2 linked regions of the Caenorhabditis elegans genome follow. The protein of the gene in region 1 purifies or fractionates together with the protein of each later gene. This does not show direct contact. Each region holds a gene or a part of one and is shown on either strand. Other genes may lie near its edges. The genes, in order: Y62H9A.14 and cbs-2.

Region 1 (4,658 bases):
AATACGATCGTTTTTGATTATGTCCAATAGACGCGTCGAAGAAAACATAATTTGAACCAGAGCCTTTTTCAAAATTTTTTGGCATGCTGAAATTAAGTTTATATCTATTTTCAGTTGTTCAATTATTCTAAATCCCCGTCGTCAAGAATATTAATTTAGGAAAATAGACTTCGAAAAAAAAAATTGAAAATTGGATAAAAATCTAATAGACAGCGCAAATGTAATAGGGACTGCAAGTATAATATTGAGCGCAAGTCTATTTTTTCGATCGATCTTTTTGTGTGCAATTTTAATAGGGGCGCAATACTAAGACAATACTTACTCTCCCTTCGAAAACCTGAAAAATACAGAAGTATTCTACACGATTAAATGTTTTATAACTAATACAACTTTTTGAGAAGAGGGCATATAATACACAAGTCAAACATAAACTAGGTTTTGAAAAATGTTTTCGTTTTGTTTTAACGTCCGCATTTTCATTAAACCAGTTTATTGTCTAGACATTCGTTTAGTTTAATGCAGTCTAGGTATCATTTTCTATGCTCGCCGACAAAATCTTCGCAAAAAGAAAATATATAATTTTTTCGGTAAAAGTTGTTATTTATTAACAGAATACATTGATGGGAATTAAATGGAAGTTACGGCGCTGTGGTTCTCCGTAATTCGTTGTACCTGAGCATATTAAATCTTAAATAAAATCTACGTCTAATCTTCATACCTTCCACGCCATGCAGTAGAACTTGAAGTAGGAAAACCACCAAATTGGATATTGCAGCCCGAGTGTTCTTTCCGACTATCCACTAGAATAACTTTCATCGGGACAATGGTCTTGCGACGACTGGCTTGACCATATTGAGATCTAAATGTTAATATATTCAAAACGTTTAAGATAGTGTCTTACGGTTTCGTGTTAGGAAGCGTTTTCGTTGAATTAATATCAATTGATGAATTCCAGATATTATTCATTTTTGAATAGTTGTTAATAAAACTGCAATTATAAACAATTATACTAAGAAATTTGAATAAAAATTAAAGTTGTCACCTTCTGGGTTTGCATCCATCAATTCTACGCTGGAATAAACTTCGATAGCTCTCACATGTTTTGTTGGATCCATTAGACCTGTTCCAACTATTTTTTTGAACTGCTTCTAAAAATTTTCCGTAAGACTTACCGCTGCTTGCTTGAGTTATTAGTTTGCTCGGTAAGACTCAAGGATGGAAATATTTGAGCATATTTATTGGTGGGATCTTCAAAGCTGTCACATGGTTTGCGAAGGTTCTTTTTGTCTAGTCCTGTGGACAGCAGGTCATATTGATATAACGATGGGTTCTTTTCATAGTTTTCCTTCGAGGAAGCATGATGCTTGTTTAACGGGAGAAGATTGTCAAACATGGTAACCTCAATGTGCACATCCTTGAAAACTGGTCCAGTTGAAAACTCAGCGCCTGTTTTTGGATTGCAATACAAACTCCAAATGGACGCTCTACAATATTCGGTTAAGAATGTCCCAATCATGCTCCAATCGAACTTTTCAGGATAAATTCTGACCAGTTCCTTGAATCCATACTCTTCAGACCCTGCTATTGGAATTTCACAAAGATGACTCCAGTCTTCTTCTAGAGCTTTTGCAGAAAGTGCACTCCAAGCTGAATCACGAAGCTGGAAGACATTTCGATAATTGAATATAATCAATGCTTAAATACAAATCAGACAATACTTCAATTCTTAACTAACGTAGTTTTTGAACTAGTGTTAAAACCAAGCATAACCAAGATATAAAACGTTAAAATATAACACTAGAATGAAAGATTAAAAGGAAAATTACGGTTTCATTTTTCATTTTCTATCTTACAATTTGGAAAAAGAAGAAAATCTAAGAATTTTCACAAATGATGTAAAGCTTTAATTTATTTGTTCGAATAATAATATATTAAACTATAAAAATTGCAATCACCGAGTATAAAATGGACTTAAGCACAATTGTTTCAGCTTGACATTTCTATCATGTGATATTTCCACTTTGTTCTTAATAATGTAGTTCTAATACACTTTATAATCACAATTACAAGTTTCAAGTGATGAATACATATTAGAAGTTCTTCCATGTATTAGGTCTCCAAATAAGTTCCGGATTAAAATTGATAGTTTTGTTTGCTGCGTATGGTTTTTTATTTGAAACTGAGGATTTTGTTATCATTTTGATTTAGTACATCACACTCAAATGTTTGTAGTAGACATATTTTTTCGGAGAAATTTCGAGTTTTTGGGTGTTTATCGAAATCCAAATTTCAAACCCAAACGTGTGTTGTATCTGTTTCACTAAATATGCACTTACAGGAAAACTGAAACTATTAGGAATGAACCCGCGCTCGGTTTGAAGCCAAAATCCGTATTTTACAGTCTCCGAGCCATCACCGAAAGAAATCGGTATCTGGTGCCAATCATATTGCCCGACCGTAGTGCAATCAGATAATGTAGTTAATACTCCTTCGGCTCCACCCATATTTATTTGATATCTGAAAGTTTAATCTACTTCCGTAATTTGACAGTAAGTGAAGACATGCATTTAACATACGGAATCAAACAAAAAGTTATCGAAACTGGAACAAAAAAAATTCTTTGAAATCTGATTATTTTTAGAAGAAAGAGAGAATTGAGAATTTATCATTGTTTTTTTTCTTAGCTTTTCACGAGAATAAAGCATGAACTTAAAAGTAAAAGAAAACTAATAAACTAAGAAGAATGAAAAATGAATTAATAATCTAAAACTTGAATTAAATTTTAATTATTAGCGTGCGACATGACGATTCGCTTGTGACGTCCTGTGGCTCCTCTCATCTTTTGATGAATTGAAGACAATTAGCATTAAGAAACACGCGTGCATTGCATCTATGAGAAAGTGTCACTTCTGACCAAAAACAGGGGATTTGAATAGGAAAGGAAGAGAAACAAAGAGTACAAGAAAAAATGGCGTTGTGAGCCGTGGAAAGGGCGGATAAAATAAAAGAGAATGAAGTGGCATGGAATGAGAATATCTACTCTGCGCGCTCATTCTTTCTTCGGTTGGTTTTTATCTCGTTGCAACAGGTACAATTCCAGATTTATTATATTTTTTGTCAAAAACACCAATTGAAAGAACATACTGAATGATATAATGATGGAAATATATTTCGGATATGAAAAAATATTCTTAAAATGATACGAATAATGAAAAAGCCCGGGTAGAGAAATTACGTTGCTGCAATGATGGATGCGTTGAAGATGAATTGGAAGAATGTTGCGCATTGATGAAGGTGCATTCGTATACATTTCTGAAACCAATATAAAATTGATACACTTTTTACAATAGGGTTGAATCAAAAATATTTTCTAATTTTAAGCAGTAGAAATGGCTCAAATGGAGGAAAAACTCCAAGTTAGAAAAAAAAGGGGGTTTGATGAATAGTCAAAAATTCGGTGAACTAGCAAAAACTATAATTTAAGGGGTTGTTGTGTGCTTGATATAAACTTTTAATTAAGAATAAAAAATTCATTAAATCGACATGTATTGCAATTAGTTGATAGTTGATAATTTTCACGATGATTGGCAAAATATTTCAATTTTTGCTAGGTAGTAGCTTTCTATCGATAAACTTCTCTTCAAAATATTTTGTAATGCCATTATGCAAATCACGTGCACTTTTGGCTGAAAATAGAATTCTTCAAATTTCAAGAAGCCTAATATTTGTATTTGTATGCTCAAATAATTGAAATTGGATTTCAAATTTTGTTTCGTCAGCTATAATTTATTATTCAGTCTCATGAAAAAGTAAAGTGCAAGATTATTCTTCTTGATCATGTGTATGTCTGACATACGCAAAACTTGATTTATCTACATAACGGAGATTCCAAGAAAAGTAACAGCGTCATGTTAGATTTCAAAATTAAACAAAAAAAGTGTTCTGAAGTTTACGGGGTTGGATTCAATTTTAATTTGTTTTAACGTTCATGCGAGTTTTGATATTGAAATATATTTTAACCGCAAAAACACTCGTCAGAAAAGCAATAACTTATGCATTCTGTTTATTGAATGCTTGGCAATGTATTTGAAGTTAGAGTAAAACATACAGTTCTTCTTTTTCTTTTTGATTGGCGGCGCCATTGGTGCTTTTTGTTTTGATCTTCCTGACTTTTTCCCTGTTTTCCTAACTTTGTCATCGTCGGTATCACCGTCGGAATGGTTGCTGTCAAAGATCCAGCTAGGAAGCACGAACTCCTGAAAACCTAGTTCCAAAACCTTTTCAGCATTTTTTGAGAGAGCTGAAAATTGAATGTACAATTAAGAGAATTGGGTGTCTTCACAGACCATATCCAATTCTTCCTCCTGGCCATGTTCTAAGTTCTCTTGGAAGTGTGTAGCTCTCGGTGGTTTGAACATTCGACAACGAATGAAAAACTTAAAATCTTAAAACATATTAATTTTTAGACTATTGCTAACCAGCGTCATAGATCGTCACTTCCGGAAGATTCAGATGTCCAAAAACTGGATTATCGGAGAAACGTGGAACTTCTGGAAATGGGTAGTTTTTTGACCATTTTGCGAAAGTTCTAATTTATGTTTTGATAATTTTGCGAATATTAATAATGCTAAAACCCCGTATATAGTATTTCCTTGTGC
Region 2 (5,499 bases), on another chromosome or scaffold:
TCGCAATTTCTTCAAAATTTTATCAGTGAATCTTGGGGTTTAATGAATTTTTAGTGAAATTTTAGGCCGAAATTCGATAAAAATCAGCAAAAAAACCTCTGTGGAATCATTTTTTTTAACGGTTTTTTTTCCTATAACAAGCTCAGAATATTTCCTATTTTGACGTTTTCTTTTAAATTTTCTCCTAAAAATTATGATTTTGAGCATTTTTCACAGGAAAATCTCGATATTAATTCATTTCTCACAAAAAACTCACTTGTTCCGCTTGTGGAACCATCATACCCTCTTCCGCCATCATTTTGTCATTAAACACGAGAGAAGTCATAATTTCGAGCTCTAAAATATAAAAAAATTGATTTAAAACACCAAATTCTGCTCTAGAATACTAAAAAATTCGAGGAAACAAGAGGAAAATCAATAGAAAATGCGAGAGCGGAGAGAGCGAGAGGCGGCGAGAGTAAGTGTGCAGGGTGTCTCATTGTCCGGGCCCCCTTCGCGTGCCGGGGTGGCAGGGGGATTTGAGTGTGGTGCGGTGGAGCGCGATTGAGCTGGACGGCGAATATGGCTTCTGTTATTTGAATTATGGCTTCTGTTGTCTATTTTGCAGGGAATATGACGAAAAATCCATATTTTCACTAATTTTACAGGGCGAATTGCTGGAAAAATGCATTTTCGGTCATTTTTAATGCAAAAACCACTAAAATTCATCGATTTTAATGAAAAATCGGTTATATCTCAAAAAACTCGGGAAAAAAGCCCAATTATCTGGAAAAATATCAATGGAGCGCGATTGCACTCGGTTAAAAAGAGAAAAATCTTCATTCATGTCAAAAATTCAGTTCATAATTCCAATTTCAAGTATTTTTTTAGGTCACAATTTACAAGAAGCCGCGGGCTTTCATCCAGTCGTCGTCGAGGAATTTGGTGCTGAAAAATTATGTTTAAGCTTGGCTTTCGGGGCTACAGAGTAGTATTTTGACCTCTAAAAACGACAAAAACTATAGGTTTCCCGCAATTTTCAGAGATCAAACAGCAAATAGACCTCAAAGCAAGCTGGGCCTAATTTTGTAGGCCCCAGGCCCAGACAACTCACAGATAATTCCGAATCCCGTCTGGAAGCAGCACAACGACATTCGCATCCTCCGGCAGATCCAGCTTCCGGCACTGCTCCAACGCGTAATGCACCGCGCATCCCGACGATCCTCCACACAAGATCCCCTCGGTTCTGATGATCTCTCGAGCCATCAGGAATGACTCCTTATCATCAGATTTTAGCCAGGAATCTACTGATTTTTCGTCCAGGGTCCCCGGGATGAAGTCGTAGCCGATCCCTTCAACCTCGTAGAAATCTGGAGCGGGTCCAGTCGTCGGGCCGGTCAGGATTGATCCATTCGGGTCAACGCCGACGACGATCGCGTTGGGACGGCGCTCGTGGATCTTCCGAGAGATTCCGGTGATGGTACCACCGGTTCCTGCGCCAAGGACCTGTAAGAGTAACAGTTGAAGCTTGATCCGAAGTTCCTACTCACCACTAGATCAATCTTCCGATCCCCCATATCCCACAAAATCTCCTCCGCAGTCTCCTCATAGTGTGCCAGTGGATTCCCCGGATTACAGTACTGATCGAGAATCACCGCACCCGGAATCTCATGCTTCAAGCGAAGAGCCACTCCGATGTGAGAGCTCGGGCTGTTGAAGGCCGCCTCGTTGGGAGTCCGGACAATCGTGGATCCTAGCACCGACAGCGTCGTCGACTTCTCCTTGGACATCTTCTCAGGCATCGTGATCAGGCATTTGTAGCCACGGACCGCCGCGACCAGGGATAGGCCGATCCCGGTGTTGCCAGAGGTGGGCTCGATGAGGGTGGTGGCTCCGGGGGTGAGTGCTCCGGGTTTGCCGGTTTTCTCAGCAATTTCGACCATTTTCTTAGCGATTCGATCTTTGGTGGAGCCGCCCGCGTTGAGGAACTCGCATTTGACATCTGAAATTGTCCAAGATGAGGATTTTTGGCAGACCAGGCCAGGCCAGACTAGACTAGACTAGACTAGACTAGACTAGACTAGACTAGACTAGACTAGACTAGACTAGACTAGGCTAGGCTAGACTAGACTAGACTAGACTAGCCTAGACTAGACTAGACTAGACTAGACCGGACAGAGGAATTCCCAACTCACAAACATTGCACCTGACTCCATGAGCCTTCGGAACGTGCTGAAGCTTCACCAGTGGCGTCTTGCCGATCGCATCGAGGACTGAGTCGAGAACCAGTGGTCTTTCCGGCCTGAAAATCAAATTTTCTGCTAAATCTCAGATCCTATAACCTACCTGAACTTGCTGGAACTCTTCCACTCCCCGACCATCTTCGTCGGATCGTAGTCCAGCACCTTCGGGTCGAAGATCTCACGAGGCTTGATAGGCTTCTTGCCGTTCACCTTCATCCAATCAGCATCTAGATAGTCCCTGATTCCATCCATCAGAACCACCACGACCACTGACCCGGCTGGAAGATCCTTGGCGAGTTTGATGGCTTCCAGCACTGCCGCTCCGGAAGATGGTCCAGCCATGATCCCTTCCGTCTCGATGAGGTGTCTGGTGAAGGTGTAGGATTCAGGAGCATCTCGGATTTCCACCTTGTACTTCTGCAGAAGAACTTCTGTTTCTGGAGCTGGAGCTGAAGCTGAAGCTGAAGCTGAAGATCTCACTCCGACCACTGTTGTCTTCTGATCCTTTAAGAAGTAAGCAGCGATCCCTGCTGCCGCTGAAGCTCCACCAGCATCCAGGGGTACCACAACTGCACTGGTCTTCCCAGCCTTCTCAATCTCCGGTGCAGTTCCTTCAAGATTCGCCAGAAACGCGGCTTTCTCGCAGATCCCATCAAGATTGTAGACACCTCGACGCTTGGCCAGTAGATCAGCCTGGAGCCGAGCTTCTCGGAAGTTTGAAACCGGGAGCTCCACGATCTTGGTTCCCAAAGTGCTCAGAATCGTCCTGACCTGGTCGAATGCTCCGGGAGGTGCGTGGGCGGTTAGTCTGACCCCCTTGACGGCTGCCACGGTGGCATAGGAGACTGCAGATGATCCGCCGGCGGTCACGTAGACCTCGTCGCCTCGTTGGATTCCGTTGGACATCTGAAAAAGAAAAAATCAATTAAAAAAATTTGTTTTTGAGATTTTAGATTACTTTCTGGGATTTTTTATTATCAAATTCGAATTCCTCGCCATTTTCTGAGTCTAAAACTCAATTTTCAGCTCAAAACTCGAAAATCGCGTGAAATTCGGTGTTTGCGTACTTTTGGCGCTACCGTACCCCGAGAAATTTCAAAATTGAGCTAGAAACCTCTAGTTTTCGATTTTCCGACTGAAATTTTAAGATAAATTCGAATTTAGCAGCGAAAATTGGTAAAAATTATTTTTAGTCCATTGTGACCAAAAATTTTAACTGACACCTATAATTTTGTGACTATTCCCGGAAATGTGGAAAATTTTAACTAAAAAATTCGAATTTCCCGCAAAATTTGCTAAATTTTAAACCCCATATCGACCAGATTCGGTTAAAAACCAGAAATTCGGCAATTTTTCCGCGCGTTGCGGCCGCGTCGCGGTCGAAGCTGGAAATTCTTCAAAATGAAGCGATTTTCAGCTAGTTTCTGCAGTCCCAGACTGAAATTTTGCAAGGAATTCGAATTTTGAATTGACATTTCCCAATTGTTCTCCGTTTTCTCACCTCAAATGCTCGGTGAGCCGCACGATCTTCCAGCGACCCGGAGATGTTGAGATATTCGAGTTTGACATCTGAAAATTGGAAATTTTCAGATTTTTCTGAAACATAGAAACTCACAAATATCACTTTTCAGCTGAAACTCGGCCTTCAGCTTCTTCAACGGCACCAGTTGAGTTGCTCGGTGGCTCCCGGCGTCCAGAATTGTCTTGAATGCTTTAATGGTAGGCAGGCACATCCTCCAGTCGGGCAAAAAGTTGAAACTGATTATTGATTGATTTCCAAACTGATCAAATTCACGAGATAAGGATGTGGAAAACAATAACACGGGAGGTCATACGGAAATTTTCTTCTTTTTTGAAAGATCATTTACACGTCATCAATTTAAAATTAAATTAAATTTTCATTGATTTCTTTTATTTAAATTACACGTGATATGGATATTTTCACAATTTTCAGCCGAATTTTTATAATTTTCATGGATTTCAGGCGTATTTTAAAGATTTGCAGGGGTTTAGAAATATAGGGGTACTGTAGAAGTACTGGTAGTCGGTGTTTGCGTACTTTTGGCGCTACCGTAATCCGGGAAAATTCAAAATTGAACTAGAAACCTCTAGTTTTCGGGTTTTGGCCTGAAATTTTGTGGGGAACTCGAATTTGAGCTCGAAAATTGGAAATAATCATATTTTAACAGGGTTTTGCAAAGAAATCGGTTTTTAGCAGTTTTAAACAGAATTTTCTTAAATTTTTGATGTAAAAATGAAAAATCTGTCTTTTCCATCCATTTCCCGATTTTTTTTCTTATAGAAAACTGCAATTTTCAAATTTTCGGTTAACCCGTCAAAATTCAAAATTTTTGTTCCGTTTTCTGAAAATTTGCTCATTTTTTGAGAGCTCCGAATAATTTCTGTGCATTTTTAATGCGAAATTCGAATTCCTCGCTATTTTCTTAGTCAAATCCTAAATTTTCAGCTCAAAATTTTGCGGGGATTTCGAATTTGAATCTGAAAATCTGAAAATGTTCCGTTTTCCATGTGAAAATCCGAAAAAATCGATATTTTTTCATAAGTTTATTCACACATTTTCCTATTTTTCGACACAAGAGAGAACAAAAAAAAGCGGGGTGGCGGGCGGAAATTCAAAAAAATCTCAAAAAAATCGAAAATTTATCTCTTCTTTTCTCTATTGCTTGTGTTGTTCGGTGATAATATTGTATGCCGGTTTTCCTTGCGAATCCTGTCCAGCTGGAACACGTTTTCCGTGCAAAACGTACGGCGAAGCGAAATCGTGACGGCAATTCGACCATCCGGTGCCCAAACCGACGCCTGATCCAAACCAAATTGGCCACGAGCGGCTCTGCAAAAAAATGAGCTTTTTTTTTTCGGGGGAAAATCGAGAAAATTCGGCTGAAAATTAACATTTTTCGAAGAAATTTTTTTTTTTTGAAAAATCAATTTTTATAGATTTTCTACGTTTTTTTTTAGAAAAAAAAAGGAAATTTGACGGAAAAATGTGGAAATCGCGAAAAATCACCGGAAAATTGTGAAAAATCGACTGAAATTCGATATTTTTATCGATTTTTCAACAATTTTCCATTGAAAAATCGATAAATCATTGATTTTTTGCTATTTTTCAATGAAAAATCGATAATTTATTGATTTTTCGTTTAAAATAGCGAAAAATCAATGATTTATCAATTTTTTTGTTGAAAAATCAATAAAGTATCGATTTTTTCAAAAAGTATCACAAAAAGGACATTTTAATTGCGATTTTTTGAAAATT

The links.
Region 2: the proteins of Y62H9A.14 (region 1) and cbs-2 fractionate together in Caenorhabditis elegans (co-fractionation; one large-scale study listed by BioGRID). This does not show direct contact.

The regions. Positions count from the first base shown.
Region 1 is NC_003284.9:11,919,098-11,923,755, reverse strand, and holds Y62H9A.14 (CIA30 domain-containing protein), read right to left. Parts: upstream 2,524-4,658; 5' UTR 2,505-2,523; coding exon 2,337-2,504; intron 1,661-2,336; coding exon 1,173-1,660; intron 1,130-1,172; coding exon 1,043-1,129; intron 989-1,042; coding exon 902-988; intron 860-901; coding exon 719-859; intron 673-718; coding exon 639-672; 3' UTR 582-638; downstream 1-581. Other genes in the region: Y62H9A.16 (Transposase_23 domain-containing protein), read right to left, coding at 3,311-3,312, 4,109-4,300, 4,347-4,436, 4,479-4,550.
Region 2 is NC_003280.10:2,219,586-2,225,084, forward strand, and holds cbs-2 (Putative cystathionine beta-synthase cbs-2), read right to left. Parts: upstream 3,983-5,499; 5' UTR 3,956-3,982; coding exon 3,838-3,955; intron 3,792-3,837; coding exon 3,724-3,791; intron 3,129-3,723; coding exon 2,326-3,128; intron 2,282-2,325; coding exon 2,175-2,281; intron 1,982-2,174; coding exon 1,530-1,981; intron 1,486-1,529; coding exon 1,094-1,485; intron 1,048-1,093; exon of another isoform or gene 928-1,047; coding exon 879-927; 3' UTR 811-878; downstream 1-810. Other genes in the region: Y59C2A.3 (Trichohyalin), read right to left, coding at 257-325; F54A3.5 (MICOS complex subunit Mic10), read right to left, coding at 4,900-5,073.